2 linked regions of the Lonchura striata genome follow. The protein of the gene in region 1 purifies or fractionates together with the protein of each later gene. This does not show direct contact. Links are inferred from orthologs where the notes say so. Each region holds a gene or a part of one and is shown in the gene's direction. Other genes may lie near its edges. The genes, in order: VAMP3 and SNAP23.

Region 1 (11,991 bases):
TGTTTCCTGCAATGAAAAGGGGATCTGGCTGTACACAGCATGAAGAACCCCAGTGAACTTAGAACTTGGGCTGTCAGCCTGAGTGGAGGCTTGTTGCTGCCTTCTCTGCAGTGCTGGAGCCTCTTGATGTCAGCTGGCTCTTTTGGACACCAGCTAAAAATCCCCCTGTGCACTGCCAAAATCTTCCTGAAGAAAAGCCAAAATCTCCCTGAAGAAGATTTCTCTGTAAAGCTGTAGCAGGCAGGCTCAGCAGAGCTCTGTCCAAGCAGGAGCTGAGAACCCCTGGTGCTGTTGGCTGTCCCTTCCTCAGCCTGGGGACCAGAGCACTGCTTGGCACCTGGGAGAGCCTGCTGGGCTGCTCTGGGCTTGGATTTCAGGAATGTCAGGGTCTCTCCAGCAGTGACCTTCAGCCTCTGAACACACCGTGTGCACTTGGCCTGGCAGAGCCCTCTGTCTTTCCATACATGATATTCTCCAACAGTGGAATTAGGATAATTAACAAAGGTCTAACCTGCATACAGGTTAGTCTGATTTAGTCTGATTTGACCCCTGCTGGCCACATTTCACAAATACTGAGAATGCATTTGAGTGCTAGAGCCTTTGAGTCAGGTAAAACAGAGGTAAAAGCAGCCAGCTCCCTTTTCACTGTGGTTCTGACTAATAGTACATGCAGAAAAATTAATAAATAAAACAGTGAAATGGAGGTGTATTTATAGAGATCAATTTATAGCCTTCATTCTGTCCTTATATTAGCAGGCTGGTGCAAGAGCCAAAAGATGTGTGGGTGTAAGTCTATGCACAGTAGTTACAAACTGTCACTGCTGCTGCTCAGCTGTCCTGACATGTTTTCTTACTTTTATTTACTTGGACTTTGTTACATTCTTTCACTTGCAGCTGGTTGCATTACACAGTCTTGCAACTCTGATGCTATTTTTTGTATTATACCTTTGTTACTTGTCCTTTCAAATTTTTGCAGCATCACATGAGCACTCGAGCCTAACAGGCTTAGCTAAATCACTTTTTTTTTGCTGTAATCTACTCCTTTTGCGGGGGACTTCCCCTTGCAGGAGCAGAGTGGAGACATGTGGAGGATGCAAAGGGATCTCACTGCAGAGGAACTCCCTGTTAGTGGAGGCAGAGCCAGCCCCAGGCACAGCTGGGCACCTTTGGGACAGCACGGGAATGCCTTTGGATTTGGTCTGGCTCCTTTGCACTGCATACAGCCAGCTTCTCAGCCTGAGCAGAAGGTTTCCTGCTGCCCCAGCTCCAGTGCAGAGCTCCTTTTCACTTGATGGGATTAAATTATTCCCTTCTTTTCACCCTTTAATTTATTTTTTAACTTTTTCAGCTTTCAGTGATGGTTTAGTTCTTGTGTTGATGAGTTAGAGGAGGTAATGGATGGCATGCATTTGGGAAAGTTGAGAACTGGCCACATCTAGGAAGAGTGACTTCCACACTGTAGGTCCATCTCCCTTGGCACACAGCATCCTGCACTGCTGGGACAACACACAAACATTTTGCCAGCAGCATGATGAAACACAGGGCACAGCAGCTGGAGCACTTGTGAAACAAAGCACCTTCCTTCACACCCACACCTGTTCTTGTGCTTGTACATAAACACTTCCTTACGTGAGGTTCTCTGTAAACACCAGGCTTCCTTTCCAAGCTGGACAGAGAGATTTTCCCCCACTGTGCTGTCGCTGCCTCAGCACTGTGTGGAGAAAAGGGTCAGCTCTGAGCAGCCCCTTTGCCGTGAGCAGCTGCAGGTCAGGCAGGGAGCAGCAGTCCAGGGAGCCCCAAGGAGTCAGGCTGGCATCACAATGAAGCCCAGCTAGTTGGAAAAGCAGTAGCTGGACCCAAGTGTGTCTCTCCAAAGGTGTTTGGGATCTCCAGAGGCCCTTTCTGCGCTTCCAACTGTTTATGGTGTTGGGAAGGTGTTGCTTTCCTGTCGTGTCTCTGGGAGCCGCCTCTTCTGCACGGGAGGTTGGAGTGATGAATCCTTTTGATTATTCTGTCTTTGAGAGATTTGCAGTAGAAGTGTTACATAGCTCCTCTTTGTTTTTTCAGAGTGAAAGAATTGAAAAAGGCCAAGGAACTTGAAGATACGCAGCAGCATCCCGTAGCAATGTGACATTGCTTTTCAGACTGTTTTCATTTTCTGTTTTTAGCAGAGACATGCAACAACAACAAAAATACCCACTGCAGTTCTGGAAATACCAGCTGCAGGATTTTAACAGTAATGTTTTGGTCATTGCATTTGCACTTTCATGGACAACTTTTAATTTGTTCAGCAAGACATCTTGGAACTCAATCTTCTGTTGGATCGTGGGGAAAACAAGACACCAGGAGGAAATTGTGAGTTGCTTCATTCTCCGAGGAGGAAGGAAGAAGCGATTAATTATCCTTTTCATATAGGGCTGTATTAAACAACATGTGGAACTGTACAAATATTATACCAAAAATATTGTTCAGAAAAGGTGGGAATGCACAAGCAACACAAGAATGCTGTTCCTGCACCTGTCAGTCATCTCCAAGAAACTGAAGCTTTGAGAGTCTCAGTGGAGGGGCTTAGATCAGTACATCTTTATTGGGTCCATGCATCCTCATTTCCTTCGCACTCCTGTCCTTTGTGTTTTATTTAAACCTCTACAGCACACTTAATGCAACTTTTTAAATCTGCAGGTTTTTAATACATCCCGTGGGAACTTACAGGAGGGGTTTGGTGTACGAGAGACACGGGTATTGCATGAGGAATGGAGAGAGCAGCTTAAGCAAATTTTACACTTTTTTTTTTGTATTTTTACTAGAACCTGCAAACATATCAACTGTCATGTACTTCCTCTCATATTCAGCACTTTATTTTCTAGCCTTACCTTCATGTACTATTGTTTTAATTAAGTTCTCAAATAATTTGTAAAACATGTAGCTTTTTCTCTTATGTACTTGTCAAACCTCTTGTCATTTTGCAGAGTCACGTACATATGTTGCCTGGACATTTTATGCCACCTAAAGATCAGTGGTGCTGCATTCTGGCCAGTAAATTTCTTATTTTGGCTACTTCATCAAAATCTGGGCAGTTTCTGTATATATAGAAGGTAGAAATGGAAAATGAGAAAAAAATATTTGAAAGGGAATATATTGATTAATTACTAAATATTTTATTCACAAAGGGTCAATAACTTGGCAAGATAAAATTATTATTTGTATAGTTTTGTCTGAATGAACGAGAAGAGTGTGGATGTATTGTTTGTACATATTGTATATATTAAAGAGATATGTGCATGAACTCAAGAAAAAGAAATGAACAAAGCAAAGCATTAGTGGCTATGGTCTGTAAAATGAAACAAAAACTTTATTTCACTATAAGAAACTTTATTTTAAATGTTCTTTAGAAGAACATTTTTGCTAAAGCATGACTAAATGGCAAAAAAGAGCTACTGTATTTAGACTTAGGAAAAAAAAGGCAGAGCAACATTACTTTAAAAAAAAAAAAAAAGAAAAAAAGGATATGTTTACATTTGATTTTGGCTACCAGGAGTTTGGTTCAGTTGGGTTTAATTTATGTATTCCTTCCTTCTTTTTTTTTACCCCCGTCTTTTTTTTTTCCTTTTTTTTTTTTTGCCAATGGTGCCAAGTAATGTGAATGCTAATATTGCTTAAGAAAATTAAGTTACTTTTGCAAAGCAGATAATCATAAGAGTACAAAAACCGTATCTAGCTTAACACCATACACTCACTCCAATAAAGAACACTTAGAATGAACATAAAATGAAAAAAAATAAATAAATAGTACGAAAGTAGAAAATATGTTTCACATTTTCATATCTCCTGCTGGAAGTCAGAAAATGTAATAAAAATTGCACAAAAAATTTTAAAAAATTAAGTAAAACTTAAAAAAAAAAAAAGATGCAAACTGATCCTGTAGGGGTGTCATGGTATATTGCTATTTCCACATAGTGAGGAGCCAAAGAAATTAGATTTTTTTTAAATTGAGCTACTAATTTAAAACTGTCACAAATTCTCAACAATGGGAACCAGTTCTGATCTTCATTACACAGGAATGTAAGGGAAGAAACTCCTGAAGTCCGTGTCATTACTTGTGGGTCACGTACATGTGTCTGAGATCAGAAACTGCTCCTGTCTGTTTGTCTCACTCGTGGCAGTTTAAAATTTCTGAATGAACTTGTGTAAATTTGAGATTGTTAGTTTTGGAATAGTTGTTCTTGCTTGATCCCGGCCACCAACTGCAATGTTTAAACGCAAGGCTTGTTGTGAAGCCAAAAAATATTCACACATAGGAAGCTTTGAAACTGGTGTCTTTAAAAGAAGAGTAAAAACAAAGATTGTGGCAAAAAAACTGGGGTCAGTGCTCTTGGTGCCTTTTCTATAATTGTACCTGTTTTTAATTACTTCTTTTCACTGCCAGCATTGAATTACAGTAGATGTGCTATAGCTCATTATCAGAATTCTCTTGTACATTTCTGAACTGCTGCTTTATGACCTGATTCAATTTTAAAAAAAGGGAAAAAAGCAAAACAAATGGCCTGGCGCTCACACTGTGCCTGTGGGCAGCCTCGTGGCCTCAATTTACTGTCTGCAATTGGAACATTAACCATTAAATTTTCTTCTCACACCAAAACAGAACAGGAGACGCTGGAGAATCTCCTTTGGAATGAATTGGAAATGCTCTGTATTAGTACTGGAAGAACTCTTGACATTTTGAAACTGAAATACTGCACCCATTAACCAATACGTGACAATATAGAATTGATCTGTTCCAAACAAGAGTAGTGACCTCAGTGGAAATGTTTTAACTCCTCGTCTTTACAGAAAACGATTCAGTAATATACAGAGCTATTTCAAATTACTCTTCCAGATCCATGGGCCTGGTGGTGTATCTACTAATCTAGATCCTGCTTCAGCCAAACGTTTAAGCCTGTGCTGGCTGTGAAGCATGCAGGCAGTTCTGCAGCACAGCTCCAGGACTCCTGGCGTGCTTGGAGCCAGTTCAGCTCCCAAGTGCTTTGTTGTGTCGGGCCGTAACCCTTCAGTGTGTCACTGGGGAGGGAGCAGCTCTCCCCCGCAGTGAAGTGATTCTTCGAACCCTCTTCTTGGTTGTGGAACTTAACATTTTCACCTAAGATAAGTAAGTGCAGCTTTCTAGGAAAATTCAAATTCCCAAGTGCCAGGAGCCAGATTTTCTGTCTTCTGATAATAGAATCGCTCCTTTGTGAAACACATTCGACAGCAGTAATACTGTGTGAAAGAAATACAGAATATAACATGAACCCCCTCTCTGGTTGCACGCTTATGGCAGTTCCACACAATAGCTGGTGCCCAATGGGGGGTCCCCAAGACTTGCATGTAAAACTAGTATAGATGTCTTCTCTTTTGTAAGTTTTATTTTTGTAACTGTGCATGTAAAGCATCACTGAATCAATGGATCTGTTGAAGAACTCAGCTGCTGGAACCATGCAAAATGTTTTGAATTGCCCTTAAAATATGGAAAATGTTTTCTGAATGCTTTATATTCTTTCTGCTGTAAATTAAAAAAGAAAATTTCCCCATACAAAGTGTGTGCCTTCTTCTGAACACGTCTCTTCTTCTGAACACCTCTTCCATCCTTCTTTGAGAACAAAGTAGTCCTTTAGTCACTCTTAAGGAACCACACACAAAAAAAAGTTTCTGCTCTACACGACCTGCTTGTAAGAATATTGCATCTGATTTCTTACAGGTTATGATGTAACAGTCCACAGCCTGCCCATGAGCAGGTGCAGCCCCCAGAACTTTGTTTGCAGTTCCTCTGCAGTGGGCAGTCACTTCCAAGGTTTTTTGTGAGAAACCATATAGAGCTGGTAGCAAAATAAATCCTACAGTGTACACAAAGCAGAGTGAAACAGCAGAATTCAAGAGGGCTGCTGATGCAGAAACCTGAGAGGTCACATTTAATGATACAATTAACTGAGACACAATAACTGTTGCGCTAATAAGTATGTTGCTCCGCTCACATGAACTGGTCCTCGGGAACAAAACTTGTACCAGACTAATGGCAAGCCCAGCAGGCAAAACCTGAAAGCAGGTTTAATAAATTAATTATCTGGTCTGTCAGAGACTGTGTTAGTACCATCATGAGTAAGCTTTTCCAAAACCCAGCTCCACAACTGAAGATTTCAATAAGAGTTTCTTCTTGACTGCAGAGAAAGTTTGATTACGTTTCTCTTTTAGAATAAATCAGCATTTAACTCTCCAAATCGCTCCCATTTTTCCATCTTACATAGCTGTTAGTTGCTGGGTTCTTTCCTATCGTGGCGGGTTGACCCAGTCCTGAAAGAAGGCGCCTCCTCCTTCATCCCCAGGGGCATCGCGGGAGAGAACTGAAGACCAAACATGAGGGAAAAAGAAATGCCCGGGATGAGATAAAGTTTGATAAGGAGGGGAAAAATAAAAGATAACTCAGAATACGTGGTGCAAAGGCAGCCAGCGCCTCCCTCCCACCGGTGCCCTGCGGAGTTCGGTGTTCGCTGGCGGAGCAGCCCCGGGGCTCCTGCGGGAGCGCTGCCGGCAGCACCGACCCCCGGCGTGTGACCGTGACCGGCCCTGCTCGGGGCACCGACAGCTCCGTGCGGCTGCCGGGAGCGGCGGCTCCAGCCCCGCCGGGACCGGGCGGCGAGCGCGGGGCGGCCCTGCAGCCAGGGCGGGGGACAAGGACAAAGATAAGGACATGGACAAAGACAAACACACCCCCGGCTCCCCTCGTGCGCTGCACGGAGCGCTCGGACACGAGTGACAACGGCACGGAACGCTCTTGGCTGTGTCTGTCTGTCCGTGCGTCCCTCCCCGCGTGTCCGTGCCCCTGTCAGTGTGTGCGTCTGTGTGCCCATGTCTGTCTGTCCGTGTGTCTGTGTCTGTCCGTGTGTCCGTGCCCGGCCGCTCTCCCCGTTCCGTTGTTGCCGTTGCCGTTCCCGTGCCCGCCCGGGGCGGGCGGTGCCGGCCCAGCGCCCGGCAGCGGCCGCAGCCCCGCCCCTGCAGCCCGCGGGGGCAGGGCCATGGCCCGGCCCCGGTCCGACTCCGCCCCGCGCCCCGCTCCGCTCTCGCCCATCGCCCCCGCCCCGGTCCCGCCCCGGCCCCGGTCCATCGCCGCCCCGGTCCCGGCCGTCGCACATCGCCCCCGTCCCGGTCCTGTCCCGGTCCCGGCCGTCGCACATCGCCCCCGTTCCTATCCCGCCCGGGCCCGAGCCCGTCGCGCCCGCCCCGAGCCCGGCCCGGGTCCCGCCCATCGCCCCGAGCCCGCCCCGTGACTCGTCAGCGCGGGCGCCGCGCGCAGCTCCCGCTGGACCCGCCCGGGCGCTGCCGCCGCCCCGTCCTCGTCCCACCGCCAGGATGTGAGTGCGGGGCGAGCGGGGGACGCGGGCAGCGGGGCGATCCGGGGAGCGGGGGACGCGGGCAGCGGGGCGGGCGCAGCGGCGGCGGGAGCAGGGCCCAGCCCGGTCCGGCCCGCGGGCGGGGTGCCGGGAGGGGTGCGCGGCGGGGCCGGCGGCGGAGGCGAGGCCCGGCCCGGCCGAGCCCGGGGCCGCCCGCCGGAGCCGCTGCTCGGGCCGGGAGCGGGGCACCGGCCGGGCTGCCCCGCCAGCCCCGGGCGCGGCTCGGAGCGGGGCCCGCCCTGCCCGGCACCGGGGCGTTGCTCTGTTTGCAGCCTCGCAGGAAGCGCTGTCATTTCCGAGGCTGTTCACCTGGCACTGAAGCGGCACCAAAGGGTGGTGGCAGCGCCAAAACAGTGACACTGTGCCGGCACCGAGCCTTGCCCCGGCTCCAGCGCCAAAACAGTGACACTGTGCCGGCACCGAGCCTTGCTCCGGCTCCGGTGCCAAAACAGTGACACTGTGCCGGCTCCGAGCCTTGCCCCGGCTCCGGTGCCAAAACAGTGACCCTGTGCCGGCTCCGAGCCTTGCCCCGGCTCCGGTGCCAAAACAGTGACACTGTGCCGGCTCCGAGCCTTGCCCCGGCTCCCGCGCTGTGCCTGCACTCGTTACGTGCAGTTAGAGGCCAATGTCTAAATGTGTATACACAGGAAACAGACTTGGCTGCTTGGAGTGCCAGGGTGCACTAAACAAGCTTTCACATCTGATGTGAAAGAGCTAAGAACATGGAAAAGGAAATTGAGTGCTGATAGTTCTAGAGATGTGCATTAAAACCTGGCCAGGTGGTGAAAAGGTAATGAAGAGTATGTACAGAAGCTCTTGCATCCGTTATAAAGATGCAGAGTGTTGTAGCTGGTAAAAAGAACTCTGTTACGAATTTAAAGCTGGCCAAAAGTAAATTTTTGTGTTTTCCAAATACTTTTTCCTTCTGGTGCATTCTCTTGTTCCATATCAACCATTTCAAAAGAATACAGAAGTGTCACTGGAAAATCACATAGCTATAATAAGTATTAAGTTTTTGTATTTTATTTTTTGTAAACTACTATTGCTTGAAACTTAGTACCTGTGTTCATATGGGAAAGAAAGAACACCCTGAGTCCAAATTGCTCACTGAGGCCTATGGAGCATTGCTGGAGCTGACCCCTGCCTCATTGCAATGTGTGGTGTTAGCAAGCCACTGCTGCCTCTTGGGACAGCATGCAATTTGTTCACAAGATGTTTGGGACACTGCATGAGTTGTGCTCACTGACAGCTGTTAAAACACCATTTCTGCAGTAAGAAAGTGCCCTGTATTTATTACATGGATACCAGTGTCCCATTTTCAGGACTGTCAGATGTCTAATGGTGCCTTTCTTTACCACAGGTCGGCCAATGTCCCTGGAAGCTCAAATATGGCTGCTGGCAGCAATCGCCGGCTTCAGCAAACCCAGCACCAAGTAGACGAGGTAAAAGTCTGGTCTGCTAGTAGTGTCAGCCTCTTCCTGCAGGAAACCTGTGCAGTTAGAAGGGATATTTTTTTCCAGAGCAGTTTTCCCTTCATTATATGAAGGGGAAGCAAACAGAAGTTCCCAGTGTCCAAACATCAGCTGCAGTCTTGGTGCAAGATTTGGCATAAGTAATGACAAAAACCTTTGTTTATAGCCATGAGAGCTGGCTACCAAATGTGATTCTTGTGGAGTCCAAAAGCCAGGCTGGCAAGTATTTCTTGACATGGTTTACTATCATGTTTATATTCCTCAACTCCTTCTGAAGCAAGTCAGGAATTGTTTCCCAGGTCTGAGGGCATGCCAGCACTACTGACTTTTTAAAACAGGCATTCAGGGCTTTTAGCCATAAGTGGATTTCATAGTTTTCTTGAAGTTTATGGCTGAATATACTAAAAGGCAATAGCTCCTGCTTCTGAGAAAGCACGGAGTACCTCGTGCAGCTGCTTGCTGTCTGTGATTATGTTGCACACCACTTACTGTAAGTGTTGAACTGCTGTAGGTTGTTGACATCATGAGAGTGAACGTGGACAAGGTTTTGGAGCGGGATCAGAAGCTGTCAGAGCTGGATGACCGTGCTGATGCCCTGCAAGCAGGGGCTTCCCAGTTCGAGACCAGCGCTGCCAAGCTGAAGAGGAAGTATTGGTGGAAGAACTGCAAGGTAACCTCGGCTTGTGTGCTCACTCTGCGCCTGTAACGCTGTCACATCTGTGTTTCAAAAGGCAGGAAATGTTTAGCCAATGTTTTTTAAGTCACAGCATCTAGTTTTTAAAGCATGGCATTACTTTTTAAAGTAACAAGCAGCTGTGTTACCGGCCGTGCTGCCCTAGGCAGGATCTTGTCTGATAATGGCCAGAGGGAAGCATGTCAGTAATCTGAGGCTTTGAGAAACAAGAAGAAAAAGCTAAAAATGCATAGCTTGAATTAATGTGTGGGAAGTATTAGAAAGTGGAAGAAGCTCACTCAGACTCCTGTACTTGTAGCTGTTGCCAAAGGTTGGATTCATCTTTGGTGAGTAACAGAACAGCTTGTGCATTCACTTGGGACAGGCTTTATGTGGAGAAAGTCATATTGCTCTTTTTGCCTGTGTGCATGGCCTGCCACCTCTGAGTGCTAGTAGTGGATTAAGCTTGCTGACTGAAGAACCTTTGCTTGCTACATTAGATCTGACAACCAGTGCTAAAAGTCCCTTGCAGGGGCTGTTTTCCTGTACCCTGAGGGGCTTTTGGTGCTGTTGCATGCTGTGTAGTAAGTGTTGTATGTCTTTTTTTCACAGATGTGGGCGATATTGATAGGTGTTGTTGTCATTATCATCGTCATCATTATTAGTAAGTTTGACCAAAATGGGGGTTTCTCCTAGATTTGGAATGGATGGTGTTAATTTGTTGACTGGTACAGTTTAAGCAAAGGCAGGATACTCAGCTGGAGTATATCCAACGTGAATCTGAAATAGCAGTGATGGATTTAACAACAATTGCATGCAGTGCGTGGCAGACTGTGATAACGTGGGAGCTCCAGTACTGGAATCTCAACCACAAGTGAGGGTGACAAAGGTGAAAGTGAAAATAGCAAGGACTTGGAAACCAGGAACAGACTTGGGTTTATTTTACAGCTGCCTGCTGCAGAAGTGTAACATGAGTTTCCACACACTGTCCTTGTCTGAGAACTGTTATCATCTGCCTTGACTTCCTGCTTTCTTGTGGCAGTTATGAGTGCGCTGCCGTAACAGGGAGGTTTGATCAGAGGTTTGGCTGCTGAGTGAAATGAGGTTAAAATTGGGTTAGGATAGAGAGCCAGGTGTGGAATGGTTCAGTCTTTGAGTCCTCATGGAATTGCTGAGGGTTTAAAGGGGAGACAAAGTTTTTAAGTTTGTGCTGTAACAGTAACAAGCACAGCAGTAACCATTGACAGCAGATACATAGTCCCATGTGCGAACACAAGGGAAAAATACAACTGAGAAAACCAACATGGGCAAATTCTTAGATTTAAGGGTTAATCAACTGAGAAAACCAACATGGGCAAATTCTTAGATTTAAGGGTTAATCTCTATTATCTTAAATTCTTAAAATGCAGGATTGTTATGATGAGGGGATGAAGGACATTGCCCAACTTTTCTTTTTTTCTTTTTGTAGTCTGGAGTGCATATTCATGAATTACAAGAAGAAGCTCCATTCAACCGAAGGTGCCTTTGAGAATCTCCTTCAACCTCTCCACTTCAAGCCTGCTGCCTCCTCAGCCCGTTTACTGCTATTTAAAGCGAAACTCTTTTGATGATCGCGACGTTTACTAACCTCACTGGCGGCCTTAAGACACTCCCGTCATTAATCACTAACCAGCAGCTCCGGCCCGCGCCTCGCCTCAGCGGCCGGGCCGGGCCCCGCCCCCTTGGCCACGCCCCGGGGCGGGGCCGGCGCCGCACGTGGCGGCGGGGCATGCGCGCGCACGGGGGCCGCGTGCGGCGCCGCGTGAGGGGCGGGGCTCCGCCCCCGCCCGCGCGGGCCCCGCCCCCCGCGCGCGGGCTCCTCCAATAAAAAGCGGCTCCGACCCCGCCTCCGCCTCCTGCTGTGTCCGCGGGGCGCGGCGCACGCGGCGCGGGTGTGTGGGAGCGGCGCCGCCGCGTGCGCCGCCGTTACGTAACGGCGCGCGGCGGGGGCGCGGCCCCTCAGGGCGCTCCCGGCCCGCCGCGGGGGCTGCCCGGGGTCGGCGGGAGGGAGAGGCGCGGCCTCGCAGGGGCGGGAGGGCCGAGCGGAGGCCGCCGCGCCGGACGGCTGCGAGCTGCGGGAGGGGGGGAGCGGCGCGGGAGCGCAGAACCGGCCCCGGTGACCGCGCGGCTGTGGAAGCGCGGAGCGGGGCGGGGGCAGCGCTCCTCCCACCGTCCCGTGAGGCGGCGCGTGCTCTCCCCGCAGCGCAGGCCGAGGGTCCGGCCGTGCCGAGCGGCCGCGGCAGCCGATGCCCCCCGCGCTGTGGCGCTCAGCGGACCCGCGATGGACGCGAGCGAGCGGCGAGGCGGCAGCGCGGAGCGAGGCGCGGCCGCGGCCGCCTGGGCCGGCGGCGGGCGGGAGGCGGCGGCGCCCGGGGGGGCTGCGGGC
Region 2 (12,350 bases), on another chromosome or scaffold:
CTGACACATTAATGAAAACATATGTTGTGTTACACAATTCCATTTGGTTCTTCCACATGGAAATACAGACCTTCCAAAAGGAATCTATAAAATCATGTATTACAGTACTCTTCCCATATCACAATTTACAGTCAAATAAATGAATGCTTTTCACTTTAGTATCTTTATAAAATAATATAAAAAACCTCAAAGACCTCACTATTTTTAACATTCAGAATCAACATACTGCACAGCTCACTTCAAGAAAGGTACTCCAAAGCACATACAAATGTATTTTTTGATTTAAGATAGACTTAGGTCAATATATTCCTGGTAAAGGGAAAATGTACTTTGCACAGTTTAAAAATTAAAGCATTTCTCATTCACATTTCTTATTAATATCTACTGATACATGTCAAGCATTAATTATTTACCTTTTTTGAGTTGTACACAATGTGACATAATGCACATTTTCGTTGCTGAACCATGCTTATTACTCTGGAAATATCTTATCCCATACCTGCAAATAAAAACAATTTAAAAACAACCAACATTCAGGATTACTTGTTTCATTAATCTATTTTACTAAATAAAGTAAGCAAAGTTACTGTTCATGAAAACTAGCTGAGCTTAAGAGAATACATTCTTCTCATCCATAGTCGATACTCTTCAAAAAAAGATGAGGTAGTTTTGCATAGTCATCTAAAACTTTGCACCAGCCTGCATATAAATTCATATGGCATCAGTGATGTCCATGAAAAAGCACCTGCCTTCATGGAAAGTCAGGATACAGAAACACTATCTTTTGGAACAAATTCTTTTGAAAGCATTTATAAAGATCATGACTTGTTTTAAACATATTTCAATTGAGACAGCAGTTAAGGAAAGTTTAAGTTAATCTGAGTAGAGACAGAAAATTAGATACTGCAGACTCCTGATTCTCTAGCGAGTTATTAGGCGAGTATAGTAGCACATCATCAATATACTGTTTATACAGATCTGTGCAGCTGCAACAGATCTAAAGGAATTATTAATGATCATACACAAGTGACAAGTGTTTAGATGCCTATCCAACATTGTACAGCTGGTTTAATGCAATTAATATGGAAGTACTCATGGAAAGCGAGGCTGCTAATCCTTGCACCAATTTCAGACACTTCCTTTTGCATAAAATTTTCTGTACACCCCCAACATTCTTCGCTGGCACTACTTTGTAGTTCAGCGGAGCAACACCCTACATGTGCTCAAGATCTCATTCAAGATTACCCAAGTATTTACAGAATTCGTTCTGCACTGGGCTGAAAGCAGCATGGGACTTAAATCAGGAAAAGCAGGCTAGTTAGCATGGAACATTAAAAAACTTCCACCAGCAGAGCTAGCATTACACCTGTTTTGGCTAATTAAAACATATAGTAACTATACACGATTACAGGAAGAGTTTTCGGCAAACTGCCCAATCAGTTCGGCATTGCTTATGACAGAGTACTAAAAATACTAATAGAATTCAAATGCTATTGGATGTCACTATGAAAAGGGAAACTACAGAGAGAAGCCCTCAGTGGCTTGGACTCAGAAATAAAGAGATTCAGTAGATGTTACAGGGACTGGGAGAACACAGACACACATTCTATTTCCAGATCACCTCTTGACTTACTGGCTTACATAGATATAAAGCACTTCCCATCATCCTTAGCTTTCTCCCAAATGCTGCTAAACCTATGAACACTTGTGGATCACTTTAATTAAGTACTTCAATTTTACTGTAAAAGCACTTCTATGAAGTATTTTGAATAACATGATAAATCAAAGGTATTTCCTCAGACACTATGCAAAATCAGCAAGAATCAGACACCTTTTGAGCCATGTAGTCACTACTATTCATCTCATCATATACTGGTCTGCTCAATCTCAAAACTTCCATTCATGAAGAAACTTCAGAAACAGAGCTTTTGAGATAAATGCAGGCACATTTGAATTCTTAAAAAAACTCCACATACTTTAACCTTAAACAACCTTCAAGCTTTTACCAGCTTTAACATCTTGTGCTTTTGAAATCATCAACTTGCTGTATAACATAGAAAATTACTTTTTATGGGACTTGAGTAGGAAAGATGAGCTAGTCTAAAAAATGAGCAAACTGAAAACAAAGATAAGGTTTTGCCAAAAAGACCCCACCATCATATAAAAAGAACACGTTAAGAGCAGAATGTAAAGCCTTTGCAACAAATTAAATATTACAACAACTTTCTATTTTGAGAGAATGTAACATCAATGGGTCATTTTTTATTTGTTTGTTTTAAAGGGAAGGGATGCATTTTACAACTAGGGGATGTAAACACAACTTGCCCATAGTCTGCACCTGTACAGAGCTTAGGAACACCACAGAGCTTGAATTAAATTAAGAAAGACTGCTACAGAGATTTTGGAGAACCCTTCCCACAAATAAAAATAGTTTACAAAAATTAGACATTAGACTACTTCCTGCTACAACATCCATTTGTCCATAGTTATTCAACCTTAGCGGATAACATACATTAAAAATGTACGTCAAGATTAAATCTGCTACAGATGAGTGGCTGAACATTCCGACTATATAAAGCCACGAGTGCCATGGAGTGGGGTATGCAGCCTGGCATTCCAGCTGCCTAGAAATCCTCAGAAGGCTTCAAAGAGATCAGCAGCACTGGCCTGTCCAAAAGCCTGCCTAAATGCTGCATGCCCCTACAGAGAACAGTGGAAACTCAACACTTGAGAAGAACAGGAGGCTACAAAATCACTGTGCAGAATTTTCTGCAGCAACATGCTCAGCTCCTTGCAGAGATGTCACTCCTAGTGCCTCAGTGACTTCTCTCCTGCAGCAACCAATTGCACGCACATCAGCTGAACTGTAGAATAGTAACAGTAATAGTACAGAGCCCTATGTTCCAATTTCATCACCTCCTGCAGAATTTACATGGAATAAAGCACCATCATTCAGAGATTATCTTCCCTTCCAAGATTTGTTGCCCTTCAAGCATCTGAATTTACTACACATCCCCGCCAGACCATAACGTCTACTAATTACCTTAACCCTCCTTCTGAGCACATGTGTGAGGCACTAACTTTCCTTCTGAGATGTTGATCTGTGCAACCTAAACCCAGGCAAAAAACGAAAACTTAAGGATTTACTAAAGTTAAGTCATGACTAACAACATGATTCTCCCCCAGCACACTGTCAGGCACTGTACAAACTACTTTGTAGTTGGTTTCTTATTTTTACAGGGCAAAGGAGAAAACTGTATCACACTCCAGAAGTTAAAATACTTGTACCAGAGTACAAAGCTTTAAAGGTAAATTTCTCCCTGCTTTCCAAGATTTAATTTTATCCATGTGACAATCTAAGGGTAGTCTAGACCCCTGAGCACTGAAGCAGCACCACTACACAGCAAATGTTTAATTGGGCAGACAAGTGCTCAACTGTTTTGACATCAAGCCAGGAAAAAAAGAGTTATTTCACAGATCAAAGTTCTTTAAGCTCCTGTTAAAAGCAATAACATTTACTTCACTACCTGGCTTAGAAAACATCTAGCAGAAAATGAGTGCTATCTCATAAGTATGGCTGGGATTTTTACAACATACAGGGAAAGTCTACTGGAGATAAGGGCACCACAGAGAAATATCTTAAACAGACCAGCAGAGGCACAGAACACCTGGCAGGAACAGAGTTTTCACTGACTTCTATTTTTATTTCACGTAAGTCTCAGAACAGAGCACAGACCAGATATACACTTTAAGCCACAACCAAACTGCATCTTTCCAACTCCTATACATAAGGAATGCTAATAATTTCTTAATATACAAAGTAAGTTTTCCTTGCTGTAAATCAAGATGATAATTTCTCTCTAGTAAAACTAAATGCCTTCTATCTTTCTCATGAGAGCTTCTCACACACCAGAAGATTCAGGAATCTATTCTGTCCAAACTGGAATGAAGAACTGTACAGCATTATTGCTGTATGCTGTCACTTAGAACATGTAAAATCCACACACCTGGAAAGCTTCTGTCTTCTCCCATACTCCCTATTTGGTTTAAGGCATATGAAAGTTTTGTTTTCTCCAGATGTTCTCCTCAAACATCACATTTCCTGAGCTTATTAAAATAGCTATTCCCCTTTCCAAACTGCCCAAAGCACTTAAAAGGATTGTTCAAAAACAGATGTAGCACTTCAGCTAACATCCCTATGTGCACCCTTAGGAGAAGGGAGTTGTCTGTGTATCCCTACTACTACTACAGCCTCAAACACAATTCATAATGCCTGAGACAAACTCTTACTAAGAAGCAACATAGTGATCCACAAGATGTGGCAAAAAACAACCCAATTAAATTTTAGATTTAAACATTTAAATCTAATAATTTAAATACTACTGTGACTTACAAAAGAATTCTCATCAACTTATTCTGGTAACCTTGAGTCACTTTATAAAGGGTCTTCACTTTACAGACCTTGTAAGAATGACAGAAATACCCAACACTTAATTTTACACTTACTTCTGTAACATTAAGTTGTATAATTTTTCCCCTTTCCTAGGCTATTTAAGCTCATCATATCCTTCCTAGGTATTCATACAATGTCTCTTTCACTAATAAGTTAAAAACAAGGATCAAAAGCCACATCAAAACAGATTACTCTATGTATCCTATCTATTGCAGTTCCACAGTAACAGATACCTGGCCTTGTCAAAATAACTCAGACTCCCCACAAAAGATCTGTATAGACACAAGAGAACAAGCAGGGAGAGCATTCAGTAAGTAATTTGGCTTCTTCTATTTATATTGTCATTACAGAGTATGAAGAATCACTGGAGGGTGATTTGAAACATTCAAACCAAGGTACTCAAGTCACTTTTCAGTATAAACAGCTTTCATGCCAAGAAAACTCAAGTTAAGGATTTCAAATACTAAGATAGTAGTCATTAATGACCAGGTAATAGAAATACAGGGCTCTGCCTAAATTAGTATATCTCTGTAATGTAGTTTATCTCAGGGCTGAACACCAGCAGCTCTACCACAATAAGATCAAAATGTAAAATATTCTGGGACTTGATGAAAGAAACTCAAAAACCTTACATTACAAATATAAAACATAGCTTTATAAAAACAAAGAAGTTACTTGTAAGGTATAGTATCCTTTTACTTTGCTAGACTCAACTTGAGCCAGATAACACCTCAAATCTTATGACACCATCTGGTGGCAGAGTTCACAGAGGAGGATTACCACATGCTAAAAAAAAACTTCAACATTTTAAATTTGATCCTGAACAAATTTACATTTTATTCTGGATATCTTATTAGTTTTTTCAAGATAAGATGGAAAGAAAATTGATAGATTTACCTAGATACTACAAGTTGTATCTCTGTATACAATTTAGGTATGCATTTAGAGGACTGCTGTTACTCTGTACTGGATTGACAGTTCTGCAGGAATTAAAATGTCTTTAGCTGACATCTCTTCACATATGTGATATTTTTGAACATAGGGAATAGAAGCTGCCTGAAGTCTGGTCACAGTGACCAAACAGACTTAGGTAACATGCGAACAAAATTTGGGTAAAACCAATGTCTTTCTCCAAACTGAAAATGCCAGAGTATAGCACCTATTTAGCTAACTTTACATACAAAAATCAGTCATTAGTGGAACACATCAAGTAGTGCAAGTGCAGCTGCCTTTTACTGCCAGTTCAGCTGAAATCGAGCAAGGACTTTAAAAAAAAACAAAACACAATTCAGTTGTTTTTAACAGGAGCTACTTCAGGATAGAAATCTATTTTCCAAGGTAAAAAGTTACAGAGACACATTGCATTGGCCCTTAGAACTTGCAGTAGTAATCCCAAATACTGCAATGCTAATGGGAATAAGCTTCTAAACTTCAGCAAAGCTATTAATAAATTTTTGGAAGGCTTAAGTATTTGGGGTTTTTTTTAGGCCAGGATTTGTCAGTTCAGCAAAACAGCCAATTTGTTAAATGCAGTAATTAAGGTTTAACTGAAAGAAGTAGCAAATAACTGAAGAACAGCAATAAGCAACAGAGATGTAGGACATGTAAGCCTGGAAATTCATGTTGAAAACAAAGTCCATAAATTCTCAATTCTATTCTCTCTTAGGACACACCACCTCAGAACCTATCTGTTCTTTAAAGTTCATCAGGTGTAGAAGGGAAGGTGAGAAAGAAGGTTTTTACCTGCATGAGAAGATTATTACCAAACCTCCATCTATACTGAAGCATGAACTTTAACCATCAATGAAGTATACTGAAGAATGAACTTCAATAATTTATGTCACTTGTATCCAATATTTCATAAACTTTTACAAACTGACATCCATATGCACACCCAAGCAGTTCTTTATGTACGTTTGGATTTGAACCACCCTGTGTGCAATGATGAAGGATTACTTTTAAACACCCCATATTTCATCATACTATTATGACTTGTTTCACGCTGTCAGTCCCATTCCTTTAAAGTTACCAGATATTTATCACTAAACTGATACATGATTTCACTACAACACATTTTTAGATATTTGCTTATGAGGAAGGCAGCTAAACAACCTATATTCAGTCACACTTCATCCCCGGAAACACTTCTGGCAAGTATGAAGAGGCATTAGGGCAGCTACACACCTGGCACAGAGACGCCTCCGCCCTAACGCCCCTGTTCTACAGCAGGGCATCAAAGTCCAGGATCACAACAGCAGTAGGGGATGCTCACGAGGCAAAGCACAGCGCATGCCCGCCCCAAGGCGAGATGCCGCTGCCGCAGCCCCTCTCGGCCGGGCTCGCCCTGCCGCCCTCCACAGGCCGCCCACTCCGCCGGAGCCGCAGCAACCCCCATCGCCCCCGGCCACCACCGCTCTCCCCAAGCCCTCTGCCCCGCACAGCCCCGGTACTCACGGATCCCACCCCTCTGCAGGGCAGCAGCCCGGCAGCCCATTCCCCCGTGGGGCCGAGGAGGCCCGGCCACCGCCGCCCGGGAGCGGTGCCGGCACGGCGCGCACCGGGCCCGGCCCGCAGCACCGCGCGGTTCGGCGGGGCACGGCGCGGCCACCAATGGGCCGGCGGGAAGGGGCCGCGCTGCACGCTGGGCGGCACGCCTGCGTGCCCGCGGGGCCTGCCGGGAAATGCAGTCCCGACCGCCGTGGACAGCCGACAGGCGAACCAACTTAATGGCGGGGGCACCAGCACCGGCCGGCTGGGGGCATTCACCAGCAGATAATGGTAATAGAGGTTATTGTTGTTGTGTGTAAATACAGCGCTTTAAACACGCTTAGTGCTACGTGTTACCGCTCTACAAATCAGACGCTGCAGACGGCGGGTATCTCAGCAGCGAGACGCTGTGGACATCACGCTGGGCAGGGCGGCTGCCCCTGGGAAATGTGCTCCAGGGACAGTTCTTAAGGCAGGAGGGGAAGGGCGCGGGCTGTGCAGTGTGCGGTAAGCCTTACTCCACTGGGACCTTTCACGAGGCCAAACTCCCCCCAGATGCTGAGAGAGACAAGGGAAACCAAGACCGAGTTCTGAGAGCTCAGCAGCAGTTTCACTGGAAGAGGGGACTTTAGGAGCCACGTAAGCTGATGCTGTGAAAACTACCGGCTGCGTTTACAGTGCTTACAGTCCTACAGCAGGTGCGGGATGTGACACCAACCTCTGAGAAGAACTTATCCACACCTGAGAAGGAATATACCTCAGGAAAGGCTGCGCGGTTCAGCTGAAAAGGATGAGGTCGGTGATTGCGAACAGCAGCTTTCCCTTTCTGCCCTCCTCTCCACTGGTGACAGAAGGGGACTGACACTCATCGTCCTAGTAGAGAATAGTAACTGGAGAAAAACCCCACCGATACAAATAAGGCCGCTTCTTGACTGCACTGTTTGCTGCCGCAGCTGCGGTCGGCACGGGCGGACCGCGGGCACTGCCCAGCCGGCACTGACACCCGAGGGGCAGGGCAGCAGGCAGGGCAGCCCCGCGCGCCGCCATGCCGGGTGGGCAGGCCGCCGTTCCCGCCCGCCGCCGTGTGAGGGCGCTGCGGGCGGCGCGTTCCTCCGCCGCACTGGGAGCGGCGGTGAGCGGGGCGGGGCGGGGCGGGCGCCGCTTCCGGGGGCGGCGGGGACGGGCGGGACATGCGAGCTTAAGGGGGCGGCCCGGCCCGGCGCGAGGGAGCGGCGGTGGGTGTGTGACGGGTTGGGCTGTGGCAGCTTGCGGCGCCCCAGGTAAGGTGTCAGGCTGTCCGTTCCGGTCCCGTCCTCCTCCGCGCCGCCTGGCGCCCTGCGGCTGCCGGGGGCCGCTGTGGGGCGAGGCGGGCCTGGCCCGGTGCGGTTGCCGTCCTATGTCGGCTGTGCTGGGTAATGGGGCGGCCGGGATCCGGGCCCGGGCCCTCCGAGCCCCCGCCTCAGCTGTGTGCGGGGAGGCCTCGTGGGCTCGCCCATACCGGGGGCGGCAGTGCCGTGTCCAGGTGGTTTTTGATTGCTTGGCGAGAGCCCGTGAATTGCGCTGTTAGTAGCGTCCAGGAGAAAACCCACCTCTTGTTGCTTCTTATTAAGCTTATGTGTTGTGTCTGCTGCCTTTAGACTAATCTGTAAAATGCTGTAGTGTCAATGTAGTAAACAATAAGAATCGAAGTGCTTCTTGTGCTTCTTTCACTTGTACGTCTCAATGCCCTTGGTCCTTCTGGGAAGCTCCTAATGAGTCAGCTTTATTTTTCGCTTTTTTTCCCTTTTTTCTCTTTCTGTTTCAGTTAATGTGAAGTCAGCACATGACTTGACACTCTAAGTAAACCTAAAGGAACTTCGGAAATTTCTTTATGCAACTTCTCTATTTGCCTAACTTTTCTTTTTTGTTCTCTTAGAAAGGGTACTGGATGCTCAGTGTTTAGAGCTAAGGGTGCTGTTTTACTTCCTCTTCATAAACAAACATGATTCTGTGCTGTAGAGGGAACAGCTGTTTAGGGACAAAGGAAAAGCCACTTCTGTTATCAATTGCTTGCTTGATTGATCTAATTGAGCACTTAATTGCTTACTGGCAGTCTAGTAGCTAGTCTATGTGCCTGCCCTCCTCTGCTCTGCAGTTTTTGAAGTAGGTTATTATATAGTAGTTTGTGTCTTTAGGAGAAATGGAATCTATAGTAGTTTGTGTCTTTAGGAGAAATGGAATCTCTTGCTGTCATTAAATGGATCCAAGTTTGACTGTGAATTTCTATTGGCCAGATTCTGATCTGGAGGAGGTTTCATGAGGCTTTTTCAGGGGCAAAAATGAGTTGTTGATGTGAGTGTAGAACTGAACTGCACAGAGGAGGTGGCATTGGTAGCGCCTATTCTTTGTGCTATCGCCTTTGTGCAGTGTGTTCAGGAAGCTGATAAGGGAAAGCAGGAAGCACGCCGAGTAGTGTCTTGGTCGTGGGCCCTGGCCTCTTCCTCCAGGGCCACAGATGCTTTATTCATTTTTCTTGTAGCCATAATCATCTGGAGGAGTACATTCTGGTGCCGATACCTTGTGCCTGCATTAGCTGGGCTGAATTTCAGCTAACTAGCAAGTGGGATGGTTGTTTGTGTTAAGGAAGGGTTTTAAAAAACTAAGTTTTCTGTAACGATCTAATTTTGATCTTTGTAAGCATGCACAGGAAATTAATACTTGACATTTACATATCTAAGAATATTGTTTCATTATTTTTTCAATCTTTTGGGGAAGGCAACAGCTCCCTTTACAAGAGAAGGAACTGAGAGCATCCACAATCACCTGAGGCTGCACCAATTTACTGACAGCTAAAAATGCAGCTCATGAGATAGTGGCTTCCAGTCAGTTGCTGCAACAGCTGGGTTGTGCCACCAGCTAGTTCCTATCTTTGTGGTAAGAAGGCATAGACTGTATTTCTCAATCCTACTTGTAGATGCACTGGATAGGCTGTTTCCTTCTCCCCCAGTTTACAAGTTATCAGTGAAGGAGGAAGTTTGTGATATTGATTAAAAGCATAACTTCACAGGCAAAGGGATAGGTGCAAACAGAGGACCTTCAGATGGTAAGGAAGTAATTTATAGTCTGTAGCAAATGTAATTGATATAGCCATTTCTGAATTGCATTGAAAATTCTGAAAGGTATTCAGCCTGTCAGAGGTACAAAACTACTGCTTGTTAGCCAGAGATGCAGAACAAAAATCTTATTCAGGGTGGGTTTGTGAAAGTGCCAGCAATCAAAACAATATTGATCTGGTGCAAGTAGACCTGTCTGGCTTTAGGAAACTTGTCACTTTTGTTAGCCTTTCCCTGTCCAAATGTGGATAGTGTAATTGGAGTTGAACAAGCACTTTATCAGGCCTTGTGGCACCCTGCAGTTAACTTAAATTTATAAATATCAGTAAGGGTTTTGAGTACTTTGGACAGCACAGCCTTAATGTGCTGTGACTGTCATAAAGCAAGGAATTAAGTTTTCTTTTTTCTTAGAGAAAATAAGCATTAGAATTGCTTCTCAGCTAAATGCTGAAGAAGAGTATATTTAGGTCATGTAACTTGCCTACTAGAGCTTTCATTACCATGGAAGTGCCTTATATATATATAAATGTGCCTTTTTATATAAAAGTCCCAGAAGATTATTGGTATTGAAGAAAACTTGAAAATTCTGTGCAAAGTCAGTGTTGTAATGGCTTTTGAACTTTGTTTGCATTGGAAACTGAGTGTGTTGGTATAAATAGTTGGCAAGTAATTCTGAATGAAAATGAAAACACTTGCAAGAAAAACCATTAGTGGTGCAGTAGAGTATTTTAGGCCAGTGAGAGAGACCACAAAAAAAGGTTTCATGTTAATTTTTTACAGTGTGCTTTGGGAAGGTGGGTGGCAGAGATGATTATAATGTTGCTGGCTGCATACAGCAATACTTTAATCTCGAGGGCCTTTCCATTCAAATGTTTTATTACCCCCCAACTTTTTAATATGCCTATTGTCAGGAAACCAGCCAGCCACTGAACTGCTGTTGCATGAAGTGATACTTCAGTAGCCTTCTGATCACAAGCTGGTATTTAAACCTGGGGACATAGTCAGTCAGCTCACCATGGGTGTTCCTAACACTGAATTTGCTCCTCTCACTCTATGAAAGATCTGCCTTGGCAGATGTTAGCTCCCAGTTCAGTAGCTGGGGTTGGGACAGAACTCAGTGCTTGGGACTGATCCACTGCAAATGTGGCAGTGTGAGCAATGCTTTTCCCAAGCCAAAATTTGCACTGTAGGCTCACGGGATCACCCTTCTGCTAATAGAGACCTAGCCATAGCTCACATCAGTCTGTCACCTTCCAGCTTTTTCAAGTTGGACAAAGAACCCACTAAAATGCTTCAGCTGCTCTGTGAGTGTTGATTAACAAAATCAAGATCTCTAAGCCAGTGATGCTTTGAATGGATCATTATAAAATTACCCCAAAAGTGCTTGTTGCGTCCCTCGTTATTTTGCAATAACCTTTGCTTTGTCTTTTCAGTCCTCTCCAACCTAACAGCTTCACATAGGAGAGTAAATTGAAAGGCTTTCAGGGTTTTTGGAGCCATGACTAAATGCATAGTAAGTGGAAAAAAGGCTGTGCAGACATAAGTTTGTTTCCTCTTTTCCAGGAGATAGAAGTAACTTAAGCTTAATCCATCCTCAACTGGCTTGGGCAGCAATGTCGTAGTTATGTATTATAGTGATGAACTTGTGGGATAGCTTAGCCCAACATAAGTAATCTTGTGAAGAGATGTAAAGCTTTAGGTTGGAATTGGAGTTTCAAAGAACTCTTTCTATTTTGCACAATCTCCCAAATAAAGTATGGCATTAAAAATTTGTGTTTATTTCCTTGCTGCTCTGGTTTCTCAATGGCCTTCCTTTTTATAAGGCAGTGATAGTTAAAGTAACGAATGTGTTGTAATCTGTTTTCTAGCAGAAAAGTATAATGAGCCCAGTTACCTCAAGAAAGTATATTTTTGTAGCAAGTTTAATTTTGTATACTCTGCAGGTATCAGGCCTTCCTATGAAAGGGACAGAAGGGGAGTTGAACTGAGCAAATACTGCAGAAAACTGATAAAAGAAAGTAAACAAAGCTGACATCACAGCCTTCCTTAAAGGAGTACTGCTTTGTCTTAAGATGCATTAGATTCTTGTTTAAAGCTTGCCCCTCTAGAAAGAAAATTAAAAATAGCAGAATATTGTTATAATTATGAAATATCTTTGTAGGCTGCTGTCTTCTTTATTTTTTACTTTGGCTGTTTTGTGGCTAGGATTTCTTAAATGGTAGGAGAGGGAAGGCAAAGAAAATAGACATTGAGCATCAGTGTTAAAATAAATGCTTGCCTTAACAAATGTTATCTAACAAATGTTATCATAGCCATAT

Evidence for each region.
Region 2: the proteins of VAMP3 (region 1) and SNAP23 purify together in Homo sapiens (affinity purification with western blotting; 6 studies listed by BioGRID and IntAct, with this or other methods). This does not show direct contact. The link is inferred for Lonchura striata from reciprocal best matches to the Homo sapiens genes VAMP3 and SNAP23.

What each region holds. Positions count from the first base shown.
Region 1 is NC_134626.1:4,504,383-4,516,373, forward strand, and holds VAMP3 (vesicle-associated membrane protein 3), read left to right. Parts: upstream 1-7,276; 5' UTR 7,277-7,380; coding exon 7,381-7,382; intron 7,383-8,781; coding exon 8,782-8,863; intron 8,864-9,404; coding exon 9,405-9,563; intron 9,564-10,178; coding exon 10,179-10,230; intron 10,231-11,034; coding exon 11,035-11,054; 3' UTR 11,055-11,169; downstream 11,170-11,991. Other genes in the region: CAMTA1 (calmodulin-binding transcription activator 1), read left to right, coding at 2,068-2,131; PER3 (period circadian protein homolog 3), read left to right, coding at 11,887-11,991. UniProt on the Homo sapiens protein: SNARE involved in vesicular transport from the late endosomes to the trans-Golgi network.
Region 2 is NC_134608.1:36,269,589-36,281,938, reverse strand, and holds the start of SNAP23 (synaptosomal-associated protein 23), read left to right. Parts: upstream 1-7,596; 5' UTR 7,597-7,735; intron 7,736-8,112; exon of another isoform or gene 8,113-8,220; intron 8,221-12,350. Other genes in the region: ZNF106 (zinc finger protein 106), read right to left, coding at 414-467. UniProt on the Homo sapiens protein: Essential component of the high affinity receptor for the general membrane fusion machinery and an important regulator of transport vesicle docking and fusion.